Linked DNA regions of Oryzias latipes. The protein of the gene in region 2 purifies or fractionates together with the protein of the main gene of each other region. This does not show direct contact. Links are inferred from orthologs where the notes say so. Each region holds a gene or a part of one and is shown on either strand. Other genes may lie near its edges.

Region 1 (9,942 bases), on a different chromosome or scaffold from region 2:
TTTTGTAGTGCTGGATACCGCTGGAAATCACCTGAAATGCAAAACAAAATAAAAGTATAAGGCATTGCTCAAAGGTAACCTGTATTGACTGCATGCAAATTACAGTGGACCTCTTTGCACTGCAAGAGATCAATTTTTGATCAAGTGGTATTTTTTTTAGCCATGTCATTACTGGGCTACAAAACTCACTACCAGCTTAAAAGGCAAAAAGAGAAAACACCATCAGTAGTTGAAAGTCTGGTCTTACCTACAGACAGCATTTAAGCCTTTTGGTAGCTGCTGCCTGCTAGCCTCAGGCTTCTGCTCTCACTCTCCCCTGCTTCAATGATCCTGGCGATGGCTTTGCTACTTCTCTCCCTTAGCTTGCTTCCATGGCTAGCCTCATAGACTTTGCATGTAAGCTAGCCTCCTCGAGATGATCTTTGCAGAATTCGAAGTTGTCTGAGCCAAGTCACGGCCTTTTTGAAGATAACATTTGCGCACCACTGGGAAATTGCCTTTTCCAGAGCTTGACAAAAAGTGGCCCTTTTCCCCGTTTAAGTGTCAACCCTCCCTTCACCCAGACCACTAAAGAGGCTAACGAGACTTTATAAAAAACTGAAAGGTGGTTTATTTCAGATTGAGTTGATGCAGTTACAAATAAAAACCAGACTTAAAGATAAACATAAAACCCTCATTGGAATGCTTGCTTTCCAAAAAAAACACATATGATGAAAGAAAAACAGAAGACAAATTTTAAATGAAGGCCCTCCATGATTTATCTACTGTACATCTCTTCTTGTAGCAGCTGTAACCTGCCACAACTGTTTGGCTGAGCAGATTTAGGAGGTAAACCTGCAGCTGCCCTGTCACTTCGCTTGCTCTCCTCTCCTTGCTCTCCTCTCCTAAGTACTCAGTCCTGTTGAACAATATGGAACAACATTGTTAACTGTGCACTGTCTTCATAAGTCCTGACATCCAGAGTGAATTCGTTTAAAGTTAGCTACACTTAATCATTCCCTAAAATGATAAACTCTGGTTTTACGACATGTAACAGCAAGTTTATGTCTACAGAAGCTTACCCCTTAGAAACTTAAAATCGTCCAGGACGGCCATAGCCACCGCCATTGTTTGATCCACCGCCATATCCACCTGGAAGACAGAAAAACAATCAACACACAAGGTGAGGGTTAAAATACTTCTGTGTTGGTGTGTTTTCACCAAATCCAAATACCCACCGAAGTTTCTGCCTCCTCCTCCACCACCACCACCAAAGTTGTTCTTCATTGGACCAAAGTTGGAAGCCTGCGGGTCATAGTGACCCATGTTGTTGTAGTTATTGCCACTGCCACAGTTTCCTTGAAAATGGTAGATAAAAATGATTAGTGACAACCTCATCCTAAAAAAGGGGGGGGTGGAGGGACGGGGTTGTTGTTGCTCACCATAACCATTGCTATCATAACCATTTCCACCATATCCTCCACCACCTTGGTTGTAGCCCTGGTTGTACCCACGGTTGCCACTGTTATAGCCCCCAGGACCACCGGGCCCACCTCCATAACCTGCATCAAACAACCTTAAGTCTTCAGATGTTCGTAAATTAAAAATAAAAAAACAATTTATCTAGTATGCTGCACTTACCGCCATCGCCTCCGTTGCCGTTGTAAGGACCATCTCCATATCTGCCCCGTCCACCTTAAAATAAGAAGAAAACCCAAAACTTGTTATGGCTGTCTTACAGACCCAATGATTTAAAAAAAAAATACTACAACCCACATTACCTTGGTTAAAGCCTCTGTCGTAGTCATAGGGTCTTCCACTCCCACTGCTGCGGCCACCTCTCATTCCCATTCCAGCAGTCTGCATTTCCTGTTTGGTCAGGGCTTTCCTCACCTCACAGTTGTGGGAATTGATTGTGTGGTATTTCTGGACTATGAATAAAAAGGCATGTTTCAATTTTTATGAAAATCTTACAGGGCTTTCCCATTCTAGATCAGATACCACTAGTACTCACTGACAATCCTGTCAACAGAATCGTGATCGTCGAAGGTGACAAAGGCAAAGCCCCTCTTCTTTCCAGTGTTCCGATCAGTCATGATATCAATGACTTCAATTTTGCCAAACTGTTGGAAGTAATCCCTCAGGTGGGACTCTTCTGTGTCTTCTTTGATCCCTCCAACAAAGATCTTTTTCACTGTAATATGAGCGCCTGGACGATTTGAATCCTGCACACCAAAACATTTGTTATACTTTGAACAAGAAATCAGATTTACGTCTAGTCATATAATATACCTCTCTAGAAACTGCTCGTTTGGGTTCCACCACCCGTCCGTCAACCTTGTGTGGACGGGCGGACATGGCTGCATCAACTTCTTGGACAGAGGAGTAGGTCACAAAGCCAAAACCCCGGGATCTCTTGCTGTTTGGATCCCTCATCACCTAAAAATGAAATACTTTAAAGCCAATTCAATTTGGATGATAGCAATCACATCTTGTGAAAATGACTCACAACACAGTCTGTCAGGGTACCCCATTGCTCAAAGTGAGCTCTGAGGCTCTCGTCTGTTGTCTCAAAGCTCAGGCCTCCAATGAAGAGCTTGCGAAGCTGCTCTGGCTCACGTGGGACCTAAACAATAGATGAAGACGTCAACAAGAGGTTGCCGCAAGTTCAAACACTATGAGTTAAAAACACATTTTTGAAAACGAAAGTCCACTCATTGACTTTCGTCTCTATTTCCAGAACATATCCAGCGTCAAAAACAACAACAGCAGGAGGGTTGGGTGGTGCAGACATCGCCGCCATTAGCGATCAACGATTGCAGATTGTTCGACTTTTTGCAAAAATATGTTCGCCTAAGGTTGTTAATATTGCGGTTAATCGAAATAACGATAACCAGTGACTCATATTAATATCATTCGATTCATTTCGTTTACCTGTAACCAACAATAGGCCACGAGGCCCAGTTGTTACAAAATGGCGGCATAAGGAAAAGAAAGCTTCTGCAGCGAAGACGGGCTGTTTCGACCGAGACAACGTGCCCAAATCTAAACCATTGAAGCCATTTGACGAAACTGGACCAGCTAAATAATTTGAATCGTTCAGAATACAAAGACTTACATCTTTCGACATCTTGCTGTATTTTGTCGGAAACTCCTAGTGACACAACAACCACGCAGCGATCTGCGCCAGACAAGATCAGGCAGCAGTCAAACGCTAGGATAAAATGGGGAAAGGAACGCCCCCTTTTTACACAGTCATTGGTCAGTTGTTCCCGCTGTAGTATTTCCTCAGAGAAAGGTGAGTTTTGATTGGCTTACGTCCTATCAATCATTCAATTAATCCAATCCCCGAGCAGGATAATGCAGTGTGTAAAAACGGAGGAGGAATGGGAGAAAACAGGATGCTTTCGCAGACATAGTGACATTTTATCTGAATAAAAATGAAATGATAGATTGGGGCCAATAAACCGCATCAATTTGGATCACCATCATAACATTAAACTAGATTAGTTTTGAATGGTCGTACAGCTACTTTTTTTATCTAAACAAAATAAAAAGTATAAAGAAAGAATTACACAAATTTTAAAGGACACAACACACACTTTTGTTATTACATTTTTAGCTATTTAATTAATAGTTTGGAGCTTTGTTTATATGTAAGGCATTATGTTTCTTTGTCAGCGTACATTAAACGTCTAATAACAAAACATATAATTTTACACATTACTATTACAGTAAGTAAATACCATGGATTGAGACCCTTGCTGCTAACCTGCCTGGTTTCTTGGTTATCAGCTGACCGGGAGGCGGGTTCATTCATTGTGTGCTTTTAACGCGCGCTTTTTCCGCTCAGCACCTTTATGTGATTTAAGCTACATGCTAACGTAGCTCCGGTAGACTGGTAGACTGATAGCTGCTGCACAAAAGACGCAAGATAACGCTGCAAAAAACGCACTAAAACTGACGGCCCGATCATCCTAAAGTAATCGCACTGTTAATTTATCGATATTGTGTTTTTACTTTAAATAACGATTCGTGATTTGAACTGTAAAAGTGGCAAGTTAGCTTGGGGTTCGCTTACATGCTATCTTGTCTAGCTTCTAGTACCGTTAGCAGAGCTCAGTTCGTCGTGCCCCATGCTTGTTTTGTTTTCTTACCTGTTGTAATCTTAGGGCTATCTTCGTTAAAAGAACAAGTGTTATGTGAAATACTTGCAGATGTGATTTTTATTCGTATAATAATTTAGTTGCTGTTATGCTCGAGTGTGTTATGCACGACAATTTCTGTGTTAGCGTCGATCAAATGCTAACGCGTATATTATCATATCTTCTTTTCTGATTCAAAGTATATCCTTTTTTTAATTATCTATTTACGTCTGATCTGTGCGTATTAACGCATCTGGAAATACTGTGCCAAGATGATCGGTTGTTATTTAAACTTTGGCTTCTCTTCTTTTGGATCAAGGAAGTGCTAACGGCCTGTGTGTGTGACAGCGTGCTATAAATACCAAACTTTGCAATGGGCAAGAAGTCTCGCGAAGAGAAATCCTCATCGTCTGACGAAGAAGAATATGTCGTGGAAAAGGTGCTGGACAGGAGAGTCGTGAAAGGCAGAGTTGAATTCTTCCTAAAGTGGAAAGGATACTCAGAGTAAGTAAAAAACAAAAAACGCCAATCTGTTAGCAATTCTATTGTAATTGCAATAATACAATATTACTTAAACCGCATAAAGACGTGCAATGTAATGTTAAGGGTTATGTAGCTGTGTGCACCGCGGTTTTAATGTTTTTATTTTGGGTGTGTTTTCTCTTTGTTTGTTACTATTGTGATTATGCAACTGTCTTGAGTTACTTGGATGGTTTTCCTTTACAGGAAGCACAACACCTGGGAGCCGGAGAAGAACTTGGATTGCCCTGAGCTTATTGCAGAATTCATGAAAACCTACAAAAAACCAGGCAGTGGGAGTGCCACACCTAGCACTGGTTCCAGCAAAGTCAACACAGGATCATCGGGTCGCTCCAAAGAATCCGGGAGCTTAAAGAAAAAAGGTTCAGATGATGAGGAGGAGGAAGACGAAGAGGGTGGAAGTAAACCTAAAAAGAAGAAAGAGGTGAGATTTATGTATATGCAATGTTTGGATTCACTGTTTTCTAGGCTGTCAAGATAAATGAGGAAAAATGAGTTTTTGTTGTTTTTCCCCTTTATAATAAAGTTTAGTTTGTTTGTTAGGATGTTACTGTACTTTATGCAAGGTTCTTAGAATTTATCTATTTTATTTTTTCCAGATCTACATTTAAATAACGAAATGTTAATAAGCAAGGGAGAGATATTTACAACAGTACATGTCAATTCTTTATCTTTCGTTTCCCTAGTTTCTTTTAGACCAGGGATGTCAAACTTGATGGCACAGGATGGGCAAAAATCCAAAACCCACTTTAGGTCGCTGACAATAACACTGTACTTTATAAACTTTTAAAACTTCTTTTCAACATAAATATGACAAATATATTTCTTTTAACAGTAAATGTTAAAAGAAAAAAAAACATTCAGTTTTCTTTACTATTGAATGACTTTATAAAAAACTTACATTTTGCTCATCTGTGAGACATCATCTGCGTGCTGTTTTATTAGTCTTCATCACTGAGAAGAGCTTCTCACACAGAAAGGTGCTACCAAACACGCACAAGGGTGAAACTGCTTTTCTGCAGGAATGGCGTTCATAACCTGTGCAGGTCCTGCAGTGTCGTACTTTGCCTTCAGTGTGCTTTCACTCTGCAGCTCACTCTGCTCCATCTGAATCTGTACAGGGGCAGTTTCAACATAGACGGCAAATGGTTTGTGAAGCAACTCAAAAATTCATTTTTGTTATTCATAATCACCAAAGGGCCGGTCGAACTTGATGCGCTCAGTTTATCAGCAAAGTACGGATTTGATGTTTTGCCTCATAGTGCTGTCTAAAGATTAAATTCCTTGAATACAGCCACATTAGCTCCACAAATGAGACGCATAAATTTATCAACAATGTCAGTAAACATATTCTGCCTCCCATCAGTTTGAAAAGCCCATTTCCAGGATTAACTTTTCACTTTTGCACCGACAGAGGGCCAGCTTCACTATCACTTGCAGCATCATAAACTAGACTTCATTGACGTGGGAAGTGTTCGGCAAGGCAGCTGAAGCGCTGCATTGTGGGATCTGTAGTTGAATTTTACCAGCGCTTCATATCGCCATGCCGTAATTACCAATAATATAAAACGATCATGCTAACCGAATATAATTGCATGCCGGGCTGCATGCGGCCCGTGGCCTTTAAGTTTGAAACACACGTTTTAGACATATAATTATTTATTTTTAGAAGATACAATTGTTGATATGTGCCAGTACACTTCACCATTGAGAAATCCACATGTCTTGATCTCGCATCCTGTTTTTGTGGCGTCCTGAAAATTACAAAAGGTCAATAAGTCAGGCGATCAACTAGTTGATGTGCATGTCAACATGCTCAATCTGTCTGTATGTGTTCAGTGCTTTACTTCTGTCATTTTGCACCTTGTACAAATAATCAGCCTTTTCAGCACAATTCTACATACAATCCAATAAAAGTAATATTTGGGGGGCTAAAAGAAACTAAAATCAATTAGACATGGATTAAAAAATTGTTTATAATACATAAACCAATAAGACATATTGAAAATGATTACCGCAAAAACAAGCAAAGTATTAATCTGTTTATACACAGAAGGAATTTCAATAAAATATCTGACGGCATTTGTCCAGTAGAGCAGTAAAGTGTAAATATGAGGTTAAAGCACAGAATCAAAAGACAAAAACAAACAGTTTTAAACATTTCCTCAGGTTTGAACTTTTTTTCTTTGTTTCTTACAGGAGGAAATTCTAGTAGCCCGTGGCTTTGAAAGAGGACTTGAGCCAGAGAAAATCATTGGAGCCACTGATTCATGCGGAGACTTAATGTTCCTCATGAAATGGTAAGTTTTGTTGTTGGGATGATGATGATTATGATGATCTGGTGTGAAATTGCTGCTCCGCTAGGTGCAATCACCACAGACTGTTTTACTGTTGACTGCAACATGGAAGGGAATGACTCTTAAAAAAAAAAGGCTTTTGACTGTGTCGGTTAACTGGGCAAATCACCCATTAGAAACTTCAGTAACCGGGCTGTCTGTCCATAGATGAACAGGAAGCCAAACCATAAAATTAATGTTATCTCTTATTACCTAGATGGATATACGCAGTGCACCATCACTCATGCCTGGTTCTGGACTCATATTTGAGTTGCAGACTTGATACTTTTACTTTGAATAAATTTACAAATCCATAAAAATAATCATGAATTTAGAATTGTTCTCATTTGCTATGATTTATAGAAAATTCTCTGTGATCAGTTTTAATCCTAGAGCGAAAGAACAAATAAAAACACCTGTGATGAAGTCTGACTATACCTTTGTTGCACCAGATGAAAAGTTTGTCTTGCCAACTTACCCATTTTATTTGGTTTTATGATAGAACACTTGATGCTGTCTCAATACATGGTTAAATTGCAGTGTAAATGAACCTCTTAGAAATATAACAGTGAAATGCCATTTCACAGAGACTAGGATAGAGTGCAACCGCCTACAGCTTGTTTATGAAATCCCACAATGCCTTATTTGGACTTAAGTTAGTGAAGTGTGGTGCAAAAATATTTCAAGCTTTACCCTCTTTTAGGAAAGATTCAGACGAGGCGGATCTTGTTCTTGCCAAGGAGGCCAATCATAAGTGTCCACAAATCGTCATAGCCTTCTACGAGGAGCGCCTCACCTGGCACGAAGACGGTGACAAGAAGGAGAAGGATGCTGTCAGTGCTTGAGTGCAACACCTCTGGAGGAAACCTCCACTGCAGGGAAAACATTCTGTTGGACTTTTTGTTTTCCTTCTCCCAAACTTCCATCCCTCACTTTGTCCAACAGTGAAACAAAAACAGTGCATCCCTTTTGTTGTTTTCTCCACTCATGCCTCATTGAGCACAAGGGCCCAGACTCTGTAAAGGATCCATCAAATAGAAAGCTGTTTGTTAGTGGACCTGGGTGATATGCTACTGGGCAATGTTTCTACTGTTTTTGTATTGATTTTTTTTTTTTTTGTAATATCTTAACATTTTTGTCTTTATCTTTTCCCTGTTTTTTAAAGTGCTTGCATAAAAATGTTACTAGGAAGAAATCTGGAGAAACTATTACTGGTGGCCATCTGTTAAAGTTGCAAATCCAGACCCAAGTACCAGATTTGACGGTTTAGGGGGGAATTCCCGATCCCCATCATTGTGTTGTAAACAGTGCACATCTTTTCTTTGACAGGAAAATGTTGAAGCTATTCACTTATCTTTCTTTTTTTACCCCTTTAGGCAGCAGATATCACACCTGATTCATTTTTAAACGTGTTTAATAATCGTTTTCCCCACTGTTTCTATTTTTTTTTTTTTTTTTAATATTTGTAACCGGTAATTTTTAACAGGGCCACTCTCACCAAACGCTCAAACATGTGCGATCATTTGATCATGACGTCTACTCTGCCATCAATTCTCTTTGTTGTAGTTTAATATTTTTGTTTCAGATTAAGGTAAGAAAAAAATCCTAAATATTTGTCCCAATGAGTAGATGTTGATCTGATGTTCAGGATTCCATTGATCATTCATCTTCCTGAAGCATTCATCTGTTTCATGTTTTGACATCCATCACCATAACATGCTTCAAAAGGGACATGATCACCTTCATGAAATTTAAATGTAAAAACTATGATAATTGTGAAAGCTGAATTAATGACATGGCAGCTGGATTGGCCTGCAGTTGAGAAGACTGGTGCACCTGTTTAGTCATGTAGGTGCACGTCTGTGTAGTGATGTATATTGGTTTTAATTTGTGCTGTTTCGTCAAATGATTGTTTTGCGGTTTTTTTCTTTCTGTTTTTTTTGACAGTGTTGCCAGAAGAAGAAAAAATACAATAAAGACATTTTTTTCTCCATTCTGTACTTTTAATCATATCCCAATCATTGTTTGAATGATTTTTTTTTTTTTTACTTTTAATTTGCATGAATTGTGTGATCTTGCGCCCTTTCAAAATAAAATTCAGCTAGCATTCAAAGGAGAAACTTAGCTGCCACTTTGATAACTGAAATTAATACTGTGGTCAACAATAAAGACTAGATTTATTTATTTGCATTTCTTTTTCCATGCTCCCCCTGCTAAAAAGCTTCAGTAGTTTTAATGAATTACAAAAAATATTGTTTGAATAGCTCCTTATCACCTGTTCATTAGTTTGAATTTTAAGGTGACTAACCCTGATAAATACATGGTTTGTTGTTGAAGATTGAAACTGGTTTTGCAGCCTGCAGAGAAGCATTGGACCAAATGTCTGCAGATTCACAGACTGCTTGTTTTTAACTGATAAGAAATGCTGTCATCTTCCTTTTGATACTACCCATACATTTCCTTGCCAGCACATTTTTTAATGTAAATATGGGTTTTATTTACCTTTTGACAATATACATTTTTTAAAGTCAGTAGTTTATTGTGTGAGAGAAATGTTCCAAGTATACATGTATAGTAGCATCCTTTAATAAACATTTTGAGTGTTTCAAGGTCTTCATGTGTTCACTTCGTTTTACAGTATAAATTACATTTTTCATAACATTACCCTGCAAACTGACAAAAATATATATATATACTTTATAGATTTAATGCAATTTTAGAATCACACATCAAAAACCTATTTACTGCCGTTTGTCAGCAGAGGGCAGTATTAACCAATTCCAACGCAAAAGTGTTTTTTTTTTTCTTCAGGTTCCAGTAGAATCATTGTGTGCAAAATGTGTACAATTTTTCTGTGAAACTTTTTATGGGCACATTTTGTGTTCTGACATTCACATGTTGCATGCAAACACGGCGCACACCCTGTAAAACATGTACAACTT
Region 2 (10,203 bases):
TGCTTAACTCACTGGAGGCAGGAAAAAAAACACATTTAAGGATTTCTATATGAATACAAATATTTAGCCACACTTTCAACAACAATTTTAACACACAAAATAAGTCATCAAGAGCATCTTATTTGTATCTGTGTCTTTAGTTAGTACCTGTGCATTTTACACACTGCTGTCGCAAATTAAAAGAGAAAAATGAGAACCCTTATTGGAAATAGTTTTATGTTTAAACATTCTGTATTTTTTATAGTTTTAAACTCCAAAACTTTTAAAATTATATTTTGTTTTTTTCTCATTTTAAACAGTTATTAAATTTCTATGAAATGTTAATTTTAAATTACTATTAGATAGCATTTTTCTTATACTTCAAGACGTCTTTTAATTTCATTTATTTTATTTTTCTTTCGGCTGAAAGAAAAATGTTGTAAACTGTGAACTACTATAAGATATTAAAAAAGTAATAATTTCTTAAAATAAAGCGGGAAAAGCTCTTATTTACGGGACATTTTGTCATTCTTTGATAGTCAAAATGAGTTTAAAAACTAAAGTCCAGGCTGAGGTGTTTGTTCGTCCTCTGCTCTCCTTTTGCAGAACATCTAAACCTCCACATGAGGTCAGAAGATCCTGAGGTTCTGGACTTTATGGATCTTCTGCAGTTTCTCTCTTTTGTGTTTTATTCCAAAATTGTTTTGTTTTTTTCATTGTAAAGCTTAATTTTGTTATATCTCAATTTTACAGAATAAAATGTGCTAAAAAACAAAAACCAGGGCAGGGAATGTTTTCTGCCGTTGGTTTCAGACGTGTGAATTTGCAGATGAATGCACTGTTGGTGAAAATGTAAAAAAGCAAAGAACCGTGTAGGTTTTGGAAAAAGAAGCGGCGCCTTCACCTGGGTGTCGGTCCCTTCGGGGTAACTTTCGGGGTGGTGGGTGCAGCACTGTTGGGCACCTTTGGGGTGGAGGGGTTGAGGGGCGTTATCTGTGGCTTGTTTGCGGGGGAGTTTTGGGGAGTAGAGGGAGATTTGGGCGTCTGCTGTCCCGGTGCAGCGGGAGCTTTGGGGGGGCTGCGTTTGCCCCACCCCTCCAGCGTGTTGAGGGTGATCCTGCGCGGCTGCGGCTTCAACACGCCCTTCGGCGTGGCCTTCTTCTCCTCCGAGGGAGTCGAGGAGGGGGCGTCTTTGCTCACTTTAGGGGAGGAATTTGCGGGCTGGGATGAAGGCGGGGAGTTCTTGGGTGCTGCGGGTTTCTTCCCTTTCTTCTCACTACTGTTTGGGACAAAGTCCTCTAAGGTGGGGGGCTCTTTGAGGGGAGTACCCAGCTCCCCAGGAGAGAATGACAGGAAGGAGCAGTAACCGTCTGTGGAGGACACGGCCAGGAAGGAACCATCAGCAGACCTGGAGGGGTCAGACAGGACCAAACAAAAAGTAAATAATAATAAACTTAATAAACTCTATTTGTATAGCACCTATTAAGATAAAAATCACAAAGTGCTTCTCAGTAAAACATGATAAAAACACAGACAATAAAAAATAATTGAGCATCTTTATAGGATTTATAAAAGCAGACTGCCATGAAAAAATATCAGTTTCTCACATTAATTGAATGTTTTCTGCATAAAAATAACTAAAATGGTAAAAACAAAAAAGAAGTTGTGAAGTTTTGTGTCAGGACGATTGTTTTAGTGATGCTAAATTTTAACAGATCAGTTTACGGATCAGTTTTTCACACAATGTCACACCATGGATTGAAGGAACATCATGCAGAATCAACGTTTTGAGTTTTGAAGTGTATTATAATGTTCATTCCTCACGAAAAACAACCCCAAAGTGGTATTTTGATCTGTTCACACATTTCTGAGTATTCCTCTAAAAACCAGACCCTCCCAATCCCTGAGACTGACTGGGATGCTCATACCTATTGACATGGGGGAACCGCCCCTTCCAGGAAGAGTCTGCGCAGCCAGCCCCGCCCCCAGACTAACACACACACCCATTTTCTCTGCAGAGCTAGCGATGATCAGCTTAAACTTTAAAGAGTATGCACATCCATCTTTGCAAAAGTTTATTGTTTGTGTTCGTGGGCGACTCTAGGATGACGACATGACAACAAGTGTTTCAGAACAAGAAGCTGCACTCTTCTGCATTTATAGATTTGTTTGTTTTTTTGAAGAAAACTGAATAATTTATTGGATTTATAACAGAAAACCAGAATTTTTGTTTAAAAGCCGAGTCTCCCCAAAGAAATGACAGCAGGATCTGAAACTGGAAGTGAAAAAAGTTGCATGATGGAGACAGACACACCAGGACACTGAGGGGGGGGGGGGGTTAGCATCATCCCGCTCGGATTTCTGGCTCTGAAAACGGTTAGAATGATTAAAAATGGACATAAAGAAGTTGTTTACCATGACAGGTCACTGAGTGTGTGGTAGTGGATGTTTGACACCAGGCCGAACGGAAGGCTCTGCTGCGTGTCGTACAGGAAGATGGAGTCCTCCGAGGCCACGGCAAACACCATCCGGTAGGGAAGCTTGAATAAATTAGGAAGATCCTGGATAGATCCATCTGCAGAAGAAAGGAGGCATTTAGTGAGGAATATTTTAACCAAAAATAAAAGCAAATATTTGCTCTGTTATCAATGTTTCTTCCATCTGTCCTTGCCTTCTCCCTTTTTGGTTCTGAGCTCAAAGTAAACGGGGCAGCAGCGCACGGCCAGCGTAGCTTTAGATGGACACGGCAAGTGGGCAACGGGCCTAAACAGGACAAGCAGGGAATATATATATATCCATGAGTCAGAATATATCAATTCTATGTCAAGGTTAAGATTGAAAGACAAAAAAAAAACAAAATAAAAAGACACAAGACTTCACCTTTTCAGACTTTTTCTGGAAAAGATGTAGGTGGTGTTAATGATGTTTTCTCCAACTTCCACACATCCAGCTGCAAAAAATAAAAAAATCCAGAAACAATACTTTTATGGAGTAAAAAAAATGAAACTTTTCAAGTTTAAAGACCCTCTCCAACATTTTGATCTACTGTAAAAGCGTTCCCTGTGGTCTTTTGATTATCCTCTTGTTAGCCCAAATCAGAAAACCTGTCATTTTCTAGGACATAGTTTCTGCAGAGCGGCTGGAGTTCATTACAAATTCACCTCTGAGTTGTGACGGGGAGTAAGGCTGCGCTCATTTCCCATCATCCCTTTGTTTACACTCTCCCCCTCTAGCGTACAGCCCATCACACTCCCAACCTAACATTATTGGTGCAAAAAAATGGCGAGCAAAGATGGACCTGTCCAACGCATTTTATACATGACAAACACCATTTTTCCCAGCTGCATTTTTGAGCCTGCTCCAGATTCACAAAAAATTGATTAAGAAATAGTCAGAAGTTTTATTTTCTGCTTCATTTTCTTAGCATTTGCCCTCCAATATCAGAAAAATGCCACAAGAACATGTTAAAAAACACCAAAACAGAATTTTCGTCCTCCGAGTGGGTTTACCTGGTGTAATAAGAAACGAGCCGTCTGGCGTGAAGGAAAGACGGCGAAAGAAGGACCTCATGCTGTCGTCTTGGAACATTCTGTACTGCTTTGCCTGAATAATGACAACCCAGTGACTTCACAGGCACAAAAGGGACAGAGAACACAGTCGTGTTGTTTCATTTCATTTTGTTTCTTACTTAAATTTAGTTTTGGACTCAAAATACCAAATTAAGAACATCAGAGGCTAAAATGCGACTGACCTCGCCCCCCTCTGCCGGCTGTCCTGAGCTCATTTTACTGACAGTGACGGCCTTTTTCTTAGTGTGGGTGCTGTAGACACGCAAGACCCTGAAAGAAAACAAAAAACATCTTCAGCCTGATCACATCCTACTGACAGCGGATATTTTCCTGAGGTTGAATCCAGACGTTCACCTGTCGCAGCTGAGAGTGGCGACATACTGTCCCAGAGGATCCCAGGTCACACCCTGCACATAGCTCTTGTGATCATTTAGGATACACAACTTCTGTCCTAAAGAAAAGAAAAGCAGGTACTGTAATTGAACAGAAATGTAATCATGTGTGAAACGCGCAGAAACAAACCTTTACTGACGTCCCACATGATAGCTGTGTTGTCGACAGACCCCGACACCATGAAGTTCCCATTCCTCGTCCAGCAGACGTCGTACACATCCTCTATGTGACCCCTGGGAACAAAAGAAAATTCATTTATGGGAACAAGAAATGTGGGGTTGGGATAGCATTTACAGTCTCTACTTCATTTTTTGAAGAAGACATGACGTCAGTTTGTGGCACAAAGAGGCCACAGTAGGACACGGGTTGTTGGTGCAAACGCTTAACTTCTGTCAAATTTTGTGCAAGACTTAATATAGCCAGAGAAACCAAAAATCTGAAAAGATTTTTGTGAATACATTCTATCTATTTAGTATTTGACTGTGTTCATGTGCTTTAAAAGTACTATGAAAAATAGATAAAGGGGTAATATTCAGTCAGCATTGGCGTCTGCCCATCTACTTTTCAAACATGTGTATTTTTGGTTTAGTCTAACTGAGACCTTTTTTTCCCTTAAGCATTAATGACGGTCATTGCATTGATTGTGTAACAGTTATAATGGAAGACGAAAAGTGCCTTAGAAGCAAAAACGAACGCACGCCGTGGAAGCCTGAACTTCACGTCAAACAGTTGCTTTCGTGCGGTGCGTTACTGTTGATAATGCACACTTCGAAGGCCATTATCCCGTCTATATCATGGTCATTTACAAAATAAATAAATATTCAATCAGTTTTTGGTACTTTATTCTTATTTTTTCGGTTTAGATCACTTTTTGCCCCCCACAAAATAAGTCGTTTGAGCTGGAATCTGACTCAAAACTGTACAGCTGGGTAGCGCAAATATTACTCGCCAATTTTGTTCCACCGCTCATGTTAGGCTGGGGGTGTGTGGGGCTGCAAGTTAGCGGCAAAGCGTGTAAACTGTGAGCTCTCAATTATGGGTGATGGAAAGAAGAGGTGGGTTGTTCCACACCAACAGTCCTGCCACTCTGCAGAAACTATGTCCTAGAAAATGCCGGGTGTTTGGCTAAAAACAGCATCATCATAATTAAAAGACCACTGGGATTGCTTTTAAAATAGATCAAAATATGATCCGAGGGGGACTTTAAACATTTGGTGCTAAAAACAAACAGATTCAACCAAATATAAATAAAGAGTCAAACTTCTCTGCATGTGTACCTCAGTGTTTTGACCACAGACCAGCTCTCCTTGTTGAGCAGAGCATCTTCATCCTCTTGGAACACGGGAGCTTGCTCTGGCTCCTTCGTGTCGTTCAGCTTCCATAAAAGAATTGCAGCATCTGCATAACAAACAAAACAAACAGTTCATTATCATATTTTTGTTATCAAAGTTGAATTAGTATAAGAGAGTAGGTTTAAATAACCTACAGCTTCTGCTCATCTCCCTTTCAAACATGTTTATCTTTTTTTAAGTTCTGTCAAACAGAGACTCTTTTGGATGACTGCCTATAGTTATCAGCGAGTGTATCCATTTATCTACTGTTAAACTATAACATGTTTGAAATAATAAACTACATAATATTCATACCATCTCCTCCAGAAGCGAGGAGATCTCCATTGGGGCTGAAACGAACCACATTGACAGCTTTTGTGTGTCTAGCCAGGTTTGACAGGAAGTCCACCACGGCCTTCCCGTCCGGACCCATGTCCGCCCGCCAGAGCTGCAGAAACATCAGGTTATGTCAAGGTCTGATCAAATACACGGCACTAAAGGAGCGTTTACTCTGTTCTCTGTGAGGTCTGTGGGGTTTAAAGCCGTGGAATTGTTTGCATCAGAAACATTTCAGAGGTTTGTAACAGAAAGGTGTCCCCTAAACAGACTTGTACATTAATATCCATATTTTCTTGCATCTTAATGTTACATCCAAACCATCCTGGGGCTTCTCCTCCACTCACCCTGACGGTGGTGTCCACTCCAGCTGTGGCCAGGCGGTGTATGCGTCCATCCGTGCTGTGCTGAAAGTCCAAACTGTAGACAGGCTCTTTGTTGTGCCAGGCTATTTCACACGTTACCACTTTCATTTTTTTTCTCGCACTTTCAGAGGCAAACAGACCTTTGAGGACAAAAAAGTTTTTTTTTCTTAAAAAAATCTTATTAATAACACATGAAATAGTTACAACTGCAAATAGGACAAATTAAGGGGACAGGAAAGGAATATATGTGTTTGTTTTTGTCACTTTAGCCAAAAGCTACAACGGTTAGCTTAAACTTTAGCGGTTCCTCCTGCCTTGGGTGTCTAAAGTAGACAGACGTCACGTCAAAAAAATATTATTTTATGACCTGCTGTTAGCTTTTAAGGTAAACGAAACACATGCTAAAAAGTTGTATCATTTTATTTTTGGACAATAACAAAGATTTGACCGAGTTAGTCTTTTACCTGCACGGGTGTATGAAAGAAGCTGCCTGAGAGACTTTCCCGCGTACAATTCATTCAAAACTTCCGGTCAAGGAAGTGATTGTAAGGGATGGGCGGGGCAAAAGACGGAAGTACTCAAATGGGTGGACCCGGATGTTCAAATTTTAAATTGTAATATACGTTGTACATTAAAATAAATATAAAAAGAAGTCATTAAAGCAAAGTAAACCGCCTCGGAAATATTCTGTTATATGATATACTGAGCATTTTAATGTTTATGATTGAAAGTCTTTTTCTTTCCATATCCTGTTTGTTTTGTCTTGTTTGATGTAATTTCATAAATATATATGAAAACATTTTATATTAAAACATTAGACAGTATCATCTTTTGTTTCATTATTAAAATCAAAATAGGAGAAATCTGCAAAAACATGATTCTATGTCTTGCCAAATTTAATATATGTAAATATAAATATATGCAAAACTTCCCATCAATTTTAGTATATTCAAAATATATTGAATTCAGAATATATTTAAAATCACTGAAACTGCTTAAGGGGCCAAAAAAAGGAACATTTTACCTTTATTTTGAAAGAAACGTATGATTTGTTTTCCCTTTTCTTCTCATTTGTCTTTTTTATCAAATTAATTAGTAGTTGTTTTTATTATTTTATTCATTTCTTGTTTCCTCTGATTGTAATTACTCCGAAATTCTGTTTAAATCATGTCTATTTTAGCCATGTTTTGTAATGTGCCAAAGTTCAAACAGAAAAACAAATGTTTGGCATTTAGGAATGCAGAATGATGGACTTTGCTAAGAGAACTGAAATGAGAGCAGTGGACAGATTTTTGCAGAAAAAGGAGAGCAACACAAGGACTATAATGGACACACAGAGAACTGCACGAATGTTTTAGGAATAGTCCAGGTGTCAAAGAGCTGAGCGGTAAAATTTGGGGAGAATGACTGCTCCTGTGCAGCAGGGAAAACTGTGACATTTAGCAATGGAGGGAGAAGCACTCACATTTATTAGTAAGTTTAAATAATTTAACCTTTTCAATTTTTTTGTTTCTAACTTTTTTAGTAAAGAGTGTTTGATATTAAACCCAATTTCACACTCTAGAGATAGAAATGCACCTAAATTACCACATGACTCCTCCTGAAACCAGGGAGTGTCCTTTTTATATGGAGCAGTGGAGAGTATAGCGTAGACGGCTTAGATGGTGGTGTGAGGATGACTCTAGAGGTGACGAAGATGAAGAAGACAGATAAGTGGTGGAAGTTGTAAAAGGGAAAGTGCTTATGATTTTTAAGGACGAGCTCGAAGATCAGGAGGAATTCCCAGATGACTGAACATCTACACGTAAAATGATCAAGGAGACTGGGAGGTCATCTGGAGAGAGGATCTTCTATTGTCCGGTCAGAAGTGACACCCGGTGCGGTATTCAGCTGCTGTGGCCCTTCTGACTCGAGGCTGGCCGTGTTGTGTTCAGAGATGCTCTTCTGCAGACCTCAGTTGTAACCAGTGGTTTTTTTGAGTTACTGTTGCCTTTATGCCAGCTGGAACCAGTCTGGCCGTTCTCCTCTGACGTCAACAAGGCATTTCCACCCACAAAACTGCCGCTCACTGGATAATAAGGAAGTGTGTATATATATATATATATGTATGAATGTGTGTAACAGTTCTTGTGTGTATTTTAAACACAACAAAATTAATTTTGCAAATACTGTTTTAATTATTTATATTTTCATATGCAGTTCTTTGATCAGCGCTTTTTTTTGCTTGAGTATAAAAAAAAAGGAAAACATTAAACAGAGTTTAAAAATGAGTGAAAAAAGCAGTGTTGACACTGAAAAAGAAATAAATAGCTATGTGCAGTATGGGGTTATTATTCTTCAATATGGTCAACTTGGTTTAGAGCAACTTAATTTAATATGACATTGAAAATTGTATACAAAATATAATTAATAAAACAAAAGGAACATAAAAAAGAAGAGGAACAGTGAAAACATGTTTAGAAAAAAGTCCTGTCTCACATCTTTGTGACAAAGTGCAATGCTTTCACATCCTTTGTGTCTTCCACTAATCAGGTGAACCTGGAGAACCAGAGCTTAATGCTACTGAAACTGTTCAAAAAGTTGGATTATTTAGATCAAAACTGACTATTTCTGTTACCAACGAACAATTTCAACCGAAGACAGAAAAACTCAATGTCTTAAACACTAGAATAGAATAGCTGCACTCAGATGCTGAGATGAATAAAAGCAAATTAAGCTTTTCAGCCATAAAACATAATTTACTGTGATTTCAAACAAAGGAATTAACAGCTCAGAACGCACATTTTTAAATTAACAACTTAATTTCCACAAAGCTGTTGTTTTATCTGCACAAGCGTTTTTAAGAAAGTTCTTCCCGGACACAAAAGATCGTTTTTGTGATTGAAAGGGACATTTTCATCAGTCCAGGTTTATGCAGGACCTTCATGATGAGCGTTCCACCTTTTTCATCTGTAAAATATGTCTTTATTTTGGGTGGGGGGGGAACATCAGTTGGAATCTAAGCTGGACAGGTATTGCTCCAGGATTTCATCGATGACGTTACATTCATAATTCACTTGATCCAATTCAAGAGCCGGCATGGAGGAGACAAGAAGCCGCCCGACGTTTTGACGCAGTTCAATCAAACTAAATTGGACGGGGAAAAAAATAGTTTTAGAGGTGATTGTTAGTCATTTAACTCTCAATATAGAAGAATGATTTATCAACAGACAAACCTCCTCCTGGCCTCATCAGGTTCTGCTGATCCTCCTGGTTTCTCTGCATGTGAAGCAGGAAAATGAAGGTTTCTTGTGCCGTCAGCTTGTTGCTGTATTTTGCATCTCAGCTCTTCACACTCAGCTGCCAGGCTTAATCTGTCCTCTTCTAGGGTGTCGAGCTGATGGTGAACACCGGTAGAGAAGAGTCAGAGGTTGAGGGGAGGTCAATGAAACCAAAAACCAAAATTAGCTGCATAAATCAATAATTTCATTTGATTCCCTCATTTAATGAATAAAATTTAAACCAAGTTAGCGAGATAAAGACACTGGAGTGATTCCCAGAAGAGCAATATTGAAGTTGTTTTTTAAAGGGTCACAAAATGTCAGATCTTAGGAGGCTTTCTTTAAAGGGGCGTTTATGCTGGTGTGTCCAAACTGGATTTTTGTAATTGCACACATTTATTCAGTTCTGGACTTGTGAAGCCAATAAAGTCTCAGAGTCCAGGGCTTGAGGCGCAGATGTAACTTGTAATAGCCAGACGGGCCCGCCAGCCCGCTCGCTCGCTTCTGCTCAACCAGGAAAGAGTCGCAGGGAAAAACCACCTTCCTCTGATCTAGTGTCATGGGCTCTAGTTCTAGTTTTACAATCAATTGATACTAAAACTGCAGCCTTTCAGAGTCAGTCTATGTTAGTGTTCAAGTTAGAAATGTTTTATCAGGACACGTGAACATTAGAAACTGAGTTACCCACCTGTAAACGGAGCTCGTCCAGCTCCTGGTTTCTTTTATCCAGCTCCTGCACCAAACATCCAACTTGAAGTGAAATCTCATCAATGTCTTTTTCTTCAGCACTAAGCTTAGTTTCTCTTCCAGCAGCTGCTATTAAAGCCTGTTTATCTTTCATCAAATCCTGCATTTTCTGCTTGACCCTCTCAAACAGAGACTTGTAGTCCCTTTCCTGACTTTTCTCCGCCTGGAATGACTGCTTGGAGCTCGTCTTCTGGCTCGCCTCAGACAGTTTTTTTTGCATTTC
Region 3 (10,234 bases), on a different chromosome or scaffold from region 2:
GCAAATGCAGGACTTACAGATTTTCTGAAGTTATTCAGAACACGGCTCATATTAGGTTAACTCTGCAAAGACAGGTATAACATTAACTCAAAATCAGTCTATATAAAAGTATAAAAAGATTAAGTGCAGTATAGTAAAATTTATTTTAAACAAACAAGAGGCCTACCTCAAGCAAAAAAAAAATAATTAACCAAAAAATTAAGACTTGCTGAAGATTCTGGTTCTTTTGCCTATGCAGTTGCCTGCAGCACATGAACTCGTCCTCAAATGCTATAAGAAATCCCACTTACACTAACAGATAAATAATAAAAGCAAGCAGGTTGAAGCAGCACTGTGCTTCCATCATCACATGAAATCATAGTAACTCACTGAACTTCCTCCTTAATGTCAGACCTTTCAGCTTCACAAGAAGTCATCGTTTACTAAATCAGTCAATAAAATACAATTATTAAAATAAAAAAAATAAAAGATAAGTGGGCACACTGAGGTTAATTTGGATTTACAATCAATAAGACTTAAACTTAAGGAAAAACAAAAGCCAAAGAGATGTTTGCCTCTATGCTTACAATATTAACTTTTTATTGAACAATTGAATAGCACTCTTTAAGAAAAATTTGTATTTCTGAAGGACATTTTAAACACTTAAATTGATGTTTTGTCATTTGCGCTTACCGTTCTTCTCTGAGGGCTGCGTGTGGAAAACAAATCTGTTCTTTAAACCAACTGGTCCGGCTCAGGGCTGTAGTTCAGAGTTTAGCTCGTGTGCACAGAAGTTATGTAAGTAAGCTGCTCAGTGGGACCCTTCCGTGCTTTGGGGGAGGCCAATGCAAGTAGACATATGGATATAACATTAAAACAAACCCACACGCCATGCGCTAGATTAAAAACAAACAAAAAAGACTTTTTCTTGATTGCTCATCCGACCCAGGTGTGCGCAAAATCCGGGCGCTTAAGCGTTGCGTCATTGCGAACCTGTTTCTTAGTGGTTCGATTAAAAGTCCAAATTAAAACGGATCCTAAGGGTATTAGACCTCAGTGTTTCACAACAAATGACAAAAAACATCACATTATTTTAAATAATAAAAAGGTTTTCCATAGATAAAAGGAAGCTTTGGAACACAAAGATGCAACTTCACGAGAAAAATAATTTGTTAACCTATTAACAATCTGGACCACTACATGTTTTGTTTATTGCTTTTTGTTAAAGGATACATAGCACTGAACATGATGTAAAAAACTAATTGTTCCCTTAAATTACTCACTTGTGGTCACAAATTTAGCATTGTTAATTCCAACTACTAATTTGTGCACAAAAAATACTAAAATGTGGACACAAATTATGAATGTGAAAGAACAATTTTTTTTCAAATATGTCCAGGGCTTTATAAAAAAAACCTTAATATGCTAAATTTACCAAGAATGTTTCCATTTACGTGTTCTCCTGGATGAGCTTCTTGGTTGACGGTCACCTTTTACAGTAAGATAGCTGAAGAATTTAAATAAAAAGTTAGACTACACATGTAATAAACTTTGTTTCATACACCAAAGGGTCATTGGTGAGATTTTGAAATAGAAAAACATTTATTGAACTAAAGAGTAAAAGAGATTTCTATCAATTCCCTTTTCCAAACAAATCAAATCTGAAAATGTAAGGGCGAAAGCATAGGATTTTCCAGGATTTCGTTAATTCACTCATTACAAATAAAGGGTCACCAACACTGCTTAGTGCTTATATATGGTTTGCTCAAATGTTTTGACAGAAAAAGAAAGGAATATCCAAAGTTCATGTCTCATGCTCGACACACTAATCACTATAGAGTGATCACTGCATCCAGAGCTTTTATGAGCATCTTCACTTATTAAAACTACCTGTTAGTTACGGGGAAGACAACCTTAGCAGAAATGCCACAATACAAGAAATTGAACAAAAAAAAAAACAATGGTTAAAGGATAAAAAGAAGAAGTTGGCTGCATAAAACTTTTATTACAAATTGAAACAACATTTACAGACTGTTGACAAAATGTTTTTGGGGAAAAAAGCAGGCAAACAGGAAGAATGAGTGCAGGCACTAAAACTGTTAACAATTAGAGTTGTTATGACATGTATGACACTTAGTGGTCCTTAATATGAGATACTTTGGAAGACTTCAATGATCATACATTGCAAAACCTTTGACAGCTCAAAAAGCTTTGAACCAGTATATACAACCTTAAAGCTCATTGAAAACCACACAAGCGTAAAAAAAAAAAAAATCTATGTAATTCATGTAACTAGAAGGATAAGGCAGGAAACAGGAGCACAGAACGTCCTGAGAAAGGAGCAGAGGTAATGCAAAGAACAGCACAAACTACAACAGTTACTGAGCTTCATCTTCTGGACAGGAATGCCACGTCAGTCGCTCCTCATAGAAGGATATGACTACCTGAGGGCAGCGAGTGTTGGCTTCACGGGCCGGGACCAAATCCGCTTCGTCGGAGTCTTTCCTGTAAAAAATTAAACAGCGTTACACAAATGGAAAAAAAAAACATTCAACATAAAACTACTTTAAAAAAATTAGTCATATGATATTCCACAATAAATAACATCTTTCCACAATGTTTCTTTTGTGAACCAACCAATGAAGTTAAGAGAAAATGTGAACAACGTTCAAACTAGAAGTTTTCATTCTGGGCCAAATTGTACTGCTCACCTAAAACAAGTTTTACATTAACCCCTCCCTATGCTGTGGTTTATCTATCGCTGCTTCAAATTTTTATAAATATCTTTGCATGTTTATTTTGATTGCCCTCTGGATCCTGATTGGTTGATGACCATGTCATCCATCTCCTCCCTCCCATGTCTCCTGTACAAATGCGTTTAGCTTGCCCATTACAAACATCTTCCATTGTGACCAGATTTTTGTCTGCTTTCTAAAATATTGGACTTATTGTCTTATTTGAGAGTTTAAACAAGAGAGAAAAGTGTGAAAATGTTTGTTTGTCTGAGAAAAGTGTATAAAGTGTGTAGTGAGGAGTTTTACAATGATAATCCTATGAACCAGATTTTAAAGTGGGATGTTTATCTTATAATTTTTTTCATTTCATAAACATCTTTTAAAGGTTCTGTCTAGTAGACAGTCAGAGACATTCTATAAAAATGTACCATTTCATCAGAAACATTAACTCCCCGCTACTGTCAGTTGCTCCAATAATTCGCTCTGGCTCCAGGTTTCTGGCAAAGCCACGTGGTTTCTCAGCCTAAAGTGGAAGCACATGAACATTCAGAAAACAGTTTTAAAATGGAAGAATGACTAATTAGAACTGAGCTCAAAGTACTGCAATGACATTGTGACATACCATGTCTTTCTTCTTGGGCTCTGTCTCTGGCTCATCTGTGGAGGCTTTCCTTTTAACAGCAGCAGGCTTCTCCTTAATATTCTTTTGTGATTCCAAAAATGCAGAAATCAGCTCAGGACAGTCCAGGTTCTCCTCCGGCTCCCAGGTGTTGTCAGCACTAAATAGTTAAGAGGGCTGTGATCAATTGCATATAAATCATGACTTTTAAAAAAAATGTAAAGCTAACAGGATGCGGAGAACACTAGCAGCTTCATGCAAAAATGACTTTACTACATGTTCAGAACAATCTGAAACCAATCAGATCCAAATGATCTGGGTTATCAAGTGATCAGGGCAATCTGGTGTTCTTTAAAAAATAACAAGACTGGTCAAGTTATGAGAAAATTGTCTAAAGCATATAATCTGGTGTCTTCTTGCATGTAAATGAACTATTTGTAATTTTGGTTTACGTTATATGGGTAGTTACAGCGTGAGTGGAAAACAAAGAAAAAGGGCAGATGCTTGCCACATTCGAGCCAATTGTCTTGTTCTTTTCCTGAAGTATTCAGCCCATTTTGTATACCCATAAGCCAGAAGGAAAATCGAGGCCAAAAATTTGGCTAATTTTAGCTAAATGAAAGCTCAAGTTAAAGGAGGGGGAGGGGTCAAATTAAGAATCATAGTATAAATGTACAAAAACTTTAAAATTGGATCTAAGGCTCATGCTAATCTATTGTAAATGTCTGATTCCTTAACCACATAAAAATGTGGTAACAGAGTAAACAGGCCAACCCCCCTTCCCCATTCTAAAGAACTAGCTGGAGAGGCTCCAGTTAACTCACTCTGTAAATCCTTTCCACTTCAAGTAGAACTCTACTTTCCCATTGACGAGACGCTGGTCGAGTACTTTTTCCACAACAAATTCTTCTGGCTCTTCCTGCGTGTCCTGTGAGTCCTTCTTACTCTTTGTATTCTGCTTCTTGCCCATTCTGGCCTCTAAAACCAAGAGGAAGGAGAGTCAATTGCCGATGTATCACGCAACTGCCCTTTTCCACTTCACCTGTAGGACCCACATTTAGCAGAAAGGCTTGTACCGTAAATATAAAGGTGTACAGCATGTGTGTGTTTAGTTTTTCCAACTTTTTACGACGGACGCGACTCGGCCACGTTCACTCCGCAAGTTTTCCGTAAATGGTACTAGCGTCCTTTGGGTTAGCCAACATGCTAACGTAGCCAAAACAGTTTGAGGCCATGGTACCATTGTTTATATCTTTTTACTAAAAAGGAACATCAACATGCTACAAAAACGTGTTTTCTTTAGATCTTACCTTAACGCCTCAAATAATTACAACAATACAGCAATATCGACACCCAACAAAAAAACGAAAGATTGTTCGTGCTAGTGTTAAGTTAATAGCAATAGCAAAACGAGACAATCAACAGTCTAAAACTAAAAGTATACTATTCATACAACACTCGGGCTTGATAAACTTAAAAAGCTTGAGCTGTGAAGAGTCAAATACAAATTCTGTTCGGTTCATTGCATTCATTTCTATGATGAAGAAGTTAGCTTAAATTACTCCTTACGTCTTAGTTATTTAAGAAAAAAAGTTCAAAAACAAAGAGATGAGATGCAGCATTTAATACCGGTAAACGTAGCTTACATACCTTGTAAAGCCTAGAAAATGACCTCGGTGACGACTTATTCAACCACGCGGTCACTGCCTGTCTTTATGTACAGATGAAGAAAGGAGGGTGCGCGCCAAACGCAAAAGGCGAGTAGGCTACGGAAGCCCGTAAGGAAACAATTTGCTTTAGAGCACTTGTGACTCTACGGTGTCCTGTTAGTTTATTTTTACGTCATTTATTTTTTCTCAGTTTATATAACGGTTTATCTCACAATCTTTAAAATATGTTTTTTCATTTTAAATGAAAAATGAGAATACACGAGTAAAGCTTTGCAGCATGTTTAAAACATTGACACATTTCTATCGTTTTCACTAATAAAGGAACAGCTTATAGTTGTTTTTGTGTTTTAAATATTCTGTATGTCTTGAGTTTTTTTGATATTGACGCTTACAAATGACTTCTGAGCTAAAATAAACTCGTGTTACTAAAGAATACTACAAAAAATGTTTATTTTATGCAAACCAACTTACCTGCTATAGAATGATCTACAGAATTTGGGTGCATAGAATCCTAATAATAAAGCCCTAAATAAAATAACAAATACACAAAACAATATTGTGTCAGTGCAGTTGTATTGATTGAGTGTGAAAAAAATTAAGTATCAGTGTTTAAAGCTGTGAAAATTATTTACTGTCTCAATGTGATTATCAAATGTAAAGTGATTCATTTTCAGTAATCTTTACTTGATAAATATAAGGTTGTCTGTTAAATTTAGTTACACTAAAGCAATACCTTTGCTATAAGTGTGAAGGCGAAATAAAATGATCTGTGCTTCAGTCTACACTTTTGCAATCCAAATGTTTCTATTTTTTTATTTTTATTTGCAATAGTGAACAATATCTTCTACACCAAGTGAACCGAGTTAGTAAAAAATTCTCTGCTAGAAAAATTGTAATTTTGTCAAAATGTCTTCTTTACCATTTTTGACAATACCAAATAACTACAGCACTGGCCAAATGGTGTGATTTGAGTTGTACTTGGATTAATAATAATAATAAAAACTTAAAGCACTAGCAAAGTACTTAAGTTAGGAGAAAGACATTCACCCCACTTTAAAAAATGCTTAGACTTAAAGGTACACATAAAATGTGAACAATAATCTTATATTTATCAGAAAAAACAACAAGAATGCCACTTTCTTTTTTTATTCAGAGTAAACAAATCCCCCAAAAGCGCCTAAATTCTTCAAGAAAAACCATACTATCAGCAATCAACAAGCAAACAATCAAAAAACAAGAAAGACACACATTTGCGAAACTTAGAGACAGAAAAGTAAACTTTAAGCTAAACCAGGAAAAGAAAAATGTCACTTCATGCACTCCACAATTATTTCACACACTTGGCTGACTTTGTAAAGCTGTGAACCCATAGTTTTCATAGCAATCCCTTTGCATAATGACAAATATTTAAAGGGTTACATCTTGCCTTGCTGATAGATTTTTTAAGTAACTGGACAGCTTATCTGTTTGGGGTCACAGTAATAATGAATATTTTATTATACAAGTACACTTAAGTTCACCAAACCTTTCAAATTAGTCAAAAAGGGATTAGGAAAAAAAAATAAACCTGAGGTAGAATTTCATTTAAAAAAATGGAAAAGGTTTTTGAAATGTAAGTTTAAATAAATCAAGTGGAAAACTTGGGAGTATTTTTTTTATCCTGAAGTAAACAGATATGTAGCAATGTGCTCACACAGGAAATGGCAGAAACAGATAGAAATGTCACAGAAAGCACATGAAACCAAATCAACAACATTTAAACCGAGAGTTTGTGATTGTAATTTTTTCACGAAAATGTCAACTTCAGCAAACTTAAAAAAAAAAAAAAAAAGTCATTAGATCAAAGGCACACTTTTGCATACCCACAAACAACTTATTTAGCAAGAAAATAGGAAAAACCTAAAAAAGATTTGTTATTGTAACCTCTAACAATGCTCATTATCTTACAAAAGTAAATCAATTTTATGATTTGGTCAATCTTACCAGTTTTTTTCTGTCTGTCATAAAGACAAGTGAGGCAAAAACTCAAACGCTTGTTTTGTCAAATGCCAATCGTTAAATAGTAATTATCAATCTAATATAAAGTGTTCTCCAATATCCGATTGTTGAAATTTCAATTGTCTGCTCACTTAGATTAAGTTATAATAAAAAGACACCGTCCTGGACAGTCTCATCGTGTATATATTCACTTTGAGCTCTTTGACAAAACTTTAATAAATACAATCTTTTACTTCTTCCTCTTCTTCGATATGGTTAAAAAAAAAAGGCAAAACGTAAATAGAAACTAACAGAATCAACACTTGTGTGATCTCTAAGCAGTAACCATCACAAAGTCTTAGAACTTAGCAGGGACAAAGAGACCGGTACAGTTGCCACACACTAAGCTGTTCCCATAAGTGCACCATTTGTTTTGCCAAAGTCCAGTGTGAAAGCTACAACTTTCTCAATATTTACAGATATTCTTTTTAGGATTTTATCTTTATGAATGTCTATTTTTGCAGCTTTTGGATCCATATACACTAACAAAAAAGAAGGCATCCCAAAACCAGAGTCAAGCCATTCAGCATAGTAATATGCCCAGAAAAGGTAAATCCTAAGTTTCGGTGTGTAAACGATCATCACTGCTTTTTGTCTTTTTTCCTCTTGTCTGTCTTGTTGCTGGCAGATGTGGAGACAGCAGGTTGTCTGATGTGCTGGACTACAACCCTCCCATTAGCGCCACACTGCAGAGTGTATCTCTCTGGGTTCAAGGGCTGTCCTGAACGATCCCTCAGCCGCGCCAACACATCTCTGGTCAGCTGCCTTATCTGATGCCCCACGGCACCCATCGTCTTGGCTGTAAGCTGTTTATCTCTCAGGAGCCTGTCCCGCTGAGCTTGCAACATCTCCACCTCCTCCTGGAGCCCTGTGATGGCGTCTAGTTTGCGTTTGCGGCAATTTTGAGCTGCTAGTTTGTTCTTCCCACGTCTGCGGATGTCCCTCAGAAGAGTTACCTGCTCCGATGAGAAACCGTAGCTATCCAGAACCTCCATGAACTCTTCTACGGGCATATTGACGATTTGCAGAGCGGAAAATGGAATGCACATGGCGCGAGCTCGCAGCTCATCCCGGCTCAGCTCCTGTTCTTCCAAGTCTGAGCAGACATCATCGCTAAAAGGCTCCTCGATTTTATGGGGCAGCGTTATTGCTGCCTTGTTGAAGAGAGCAGCGGATGCGTAGCTGTGGTCATGCCAGATATTCTCATTGGGATGAGTCGGTGGCCATGTCGTGCTGTAGTCCGTTATTCCCTTTGAGAGGACAGATTCTACCTCACTGCTGTAGCCTGTGGCTCCACACTCATCCTCACAGTATGAACTGGAAGATGATGAAATCTCTGATGAACCTGGGGGAATAACAAAATCATGAATGTGGTTGCGAGTCAGAAAAGGTTTATGTTTTCTAGTCTCAGTGGGCGAGGCTGAAGATAGAAAAGTCACAACAAACCTGGGGATAGTGGACTGCCAGAGCTGCTCTCCAAGGAAAGACCAGAGTCGGAGTCCAAGTCTTCAAGGGCATGGGGCTCTATGCACCCCAGGCTGCCCAACAGCTGGTTATTTATTGTCTCGAGGCCATCCAAGCCAAGCTGATTGATCTGGTCAAACACAGCTTCATCCAGACAGTCATTCAGTGTACCTTGTGGTGTAGCACTTGGTGTCATATTGCACACTGAGGCAAAAGGAAGTGCAGCAAGGCCCAGAGCCATCTCAGGCGAAGTGTCAGAAGATCCCGTGGAGTCCAGCCTCAGGAGGTTTCTTTGCTGTTGAGCACTGCTCCTGGGCTCAGTTCCTTCAGACGATGACTCACCGCATATTCCAGAACTGGTTACCATAGCATCGTGCAAACTGACATTCTGGCTGATGGCGCCTATGATGTCAGTGTTGAGGTCTGGCAGACGACCAGAAACAAGACAATCCAGGTCCTAAACAGGAGACATATGGTGTCTTTTTAGATGGAATTCATCTCATTCTCCTGAAAAGCAGGTTTTGCTTGTGTTACTTTGATTTTTGATTTGATTTGATCAATTTATTTCAAGCATTTTAGTCAAAGCAATAAAGGATTTACACATATTTATCAAACTCATTACAGAAATGTTGAAATGCATAGTTTAAAAGGACAGAAAATAAAATAAAACAAAACAAAAAAGTCACTTAAATCACACTTTGCTTAATTAAATACAGTGATCATTAACTAAAGTCAAGTAGAGCTTGATTTATTGCTTGAAAAGGAGTGGGAAGAAGCAAACTTATATAATCTCACTAAGGTTGGGCGATGTCCCCTAAATTGGCCGTTGACGATGTTTGCTGTCAACCATCGGGATGGACGATGACATCGTCGGGGGGGGGGGGGGTTACATTTTTGGTTCTTATATAACTGCTATTCGTTTTTTTGCTTTTTTCATTTTATTTCCCAACTGATGACTAATCCGCGATGATCCAGTATAAACTGAGGTAAGTGACTTTAACAAAAAAAGTAACAAACAAAATAGAAAAGAAGTAGTCCGCTCCCGCACTTCCGGGGGAGTGCGGACTTACAGCTTTGTGTTTGATGGGAAGGGGGGGGGGGGGGGGTACATGAGCGGTATGTGTGGGAGATTTAAGACTGCGATCCGTCCCGCAGCTCTAGGGGTACAAGCAACCGAACTCAGAACCGGGTCTAAAAGTGTGTGTCTGAGCACAGCTCGGATCGTCAGCACACACAGCGGTTTGAGCTTCAAAGCAGAAATGTCGCTCAGTCCTTAGAAAACATTCAATCAATCACGTGGATTTGTGTTTCCAGTCGTGTCCCGACTAAATAAAGGCTGATGTTATTCTTACATGTTTACGTGCAGCCAGCAAGCAGCACCACCCAAAGCTAATGTTGTTAGCCCGTGTTAGCATACTGCTAATCCTGGCTTCGTTCAGAAAAAGCACTGACCACACGGATTAAAATTCAAATGATGAGCGAACAGGTTTATTAAAAGCAGGTTTAGAAGATAATCTCGTATTTTACCGAGCTGACATGTCAATATATATAGCCGCTCGGCGCTGTTTAACAATGTTTTGTATTGAATTGTTACATACAATAAAGTTTGAAAAAAAAAGCCGCTCGGCGGAGTTTATATCCTTCCGTTTTTCAAACCCTACTGCGCATGTGCGAATGATTTATTCCGACCGAAAGTGTGACCTTAGTGAACGTTTTTATATTCTGAAAAC

Evidence for each region.
Region 1: the proteins of chaf1b (region 2) and cbx5 purify together in Homo sapiens (affinity purification with mass spectrometry; 8 studies listed by BioGRID and IntAct, with this or other methods). This does not show direct contact. The link is inferred for Oryzias latipes from reciprocal best matches to the Homo sapiens genes CHAF1B and CBX5.
Region 3: the proteins of chaf1b (region 2) and chromobox protein homolog 3 purify together in Homo sapiens (affinity purification with mass spectrometry; 3 studies listed by BioGRID and IntAct, with this or other methods). This does not show direct contact. The link is inferred for Oryzias latipes from reciprocal best matches to the Homo sapiens genes CHAF1B and CBX3.

What each region holds. Positions count from the first base shown.
Region 1 is NC_019865.2:12,831,702-12,841,643, reverse strand, and holds cbx5 (chromobox protein homolog 5), read left to right. Parts: upstream 1-3,399; 5' UTR 3,400-3,961; intron 3,962-4,443; 5' UTR 4,444-4,497; coding exon 4,498-4,628; intron 4,629-4,850; coding exon 4,851-5,088; intron 5,089-6,863; coding exon 6,864-6,964; intron 6,965-7,703; coding exon 7,704-7,845; 3' UTR 7,846-9,613; downstream 9,614-9,942. Other genes in the region: heterogeneous nuclear ribonucleoprotein A1, read right to left, coding at 1,073-1,131, 1,218-1,337, 1,422-1,541, 1,621-1,674, 1,761-1,910, 1,994-2,204, 2,272-2,418, 2,489-2,605 and 1 more. UniProt on the Homo sapiens protein: Component of heterochromatin that recognizes and binds histone H3 tails methylated at 'Lys-9' (H3K9me), leading to epigenetic repression. In contrast, it is excluded from chromatin when 'Tyr-41' of histone H3 is phosphorylated (H3Y41ph).
Region 2 is NC_019879.2:24,743,178-24,753,380, reverse strand, and holds the start of chaf1b (chromatin assembly factor 1 subunit B), read right to left. Parts: upstream 6,545-10,203; 5' UTR 6,438-6,544; intron 6,114-6,437; 5' UTR 6,082-6,113; coding exon 5,956-6,081; intron 5,721-5,955; coding exon 5,588-5,720; intron 5,340-5,587; coding exon 5,219-5,339; intron 4,175-5,218; coding exon 4,071-4,174; intron 4,000-4,070; coding exon 3,903-3,999; intron 3,819-3,902; coding exon 3,731-3,818; intron 3,583-3,730; coding exon 3,489-3,582; intron 2,930-3,488; coding exon 2,860-2,929; intron 2,743-2,859; coding exon 2,651-2,742; intron 2,555-2,650; coding exon 2,395-2,554; intron 1,388-2,394; coding exon 884-1,387; intron 1-883. Other genes in the region: MORC family CW-type zinc finger protein 3-like, read right to left, coding at 8,961-9,099, 9,189-9,349, 9,922-10,203. UniProt on the Homo sapiens protein: Acts as a component of the histone chaperone complex chromatin assembly factor 1 (CAF-1), which assembles histone octamers onto DNA during replication and repair.
Region 3 is NC_019869.2:11,211,560-11,221,793, reverse strand, and holds chromobox protein homolog 3, read right to left. Parts: upstream 5,116-10,234; 5' UTR 4,984-5,115; intron 4,312-4,983; 5' UTR 4,304-4,311; coding exon 4,158-4,303; intron 3,494-4,157; coding exon 3,337-3,493; intron 3,238-3,336; coding exon 3,143-3,237; intron 2,485-3,142; coding exon 2,358-2,484; 3' UTR 1,965-2,357; downstream 1-1,964. Other genes in the region: sorting nexin-10A, read right to left, coding at 18-50; nuclear factor erythroid 2-related factor 1-like, read right to left, coding at 7,622-8,385, 8,487-8,961.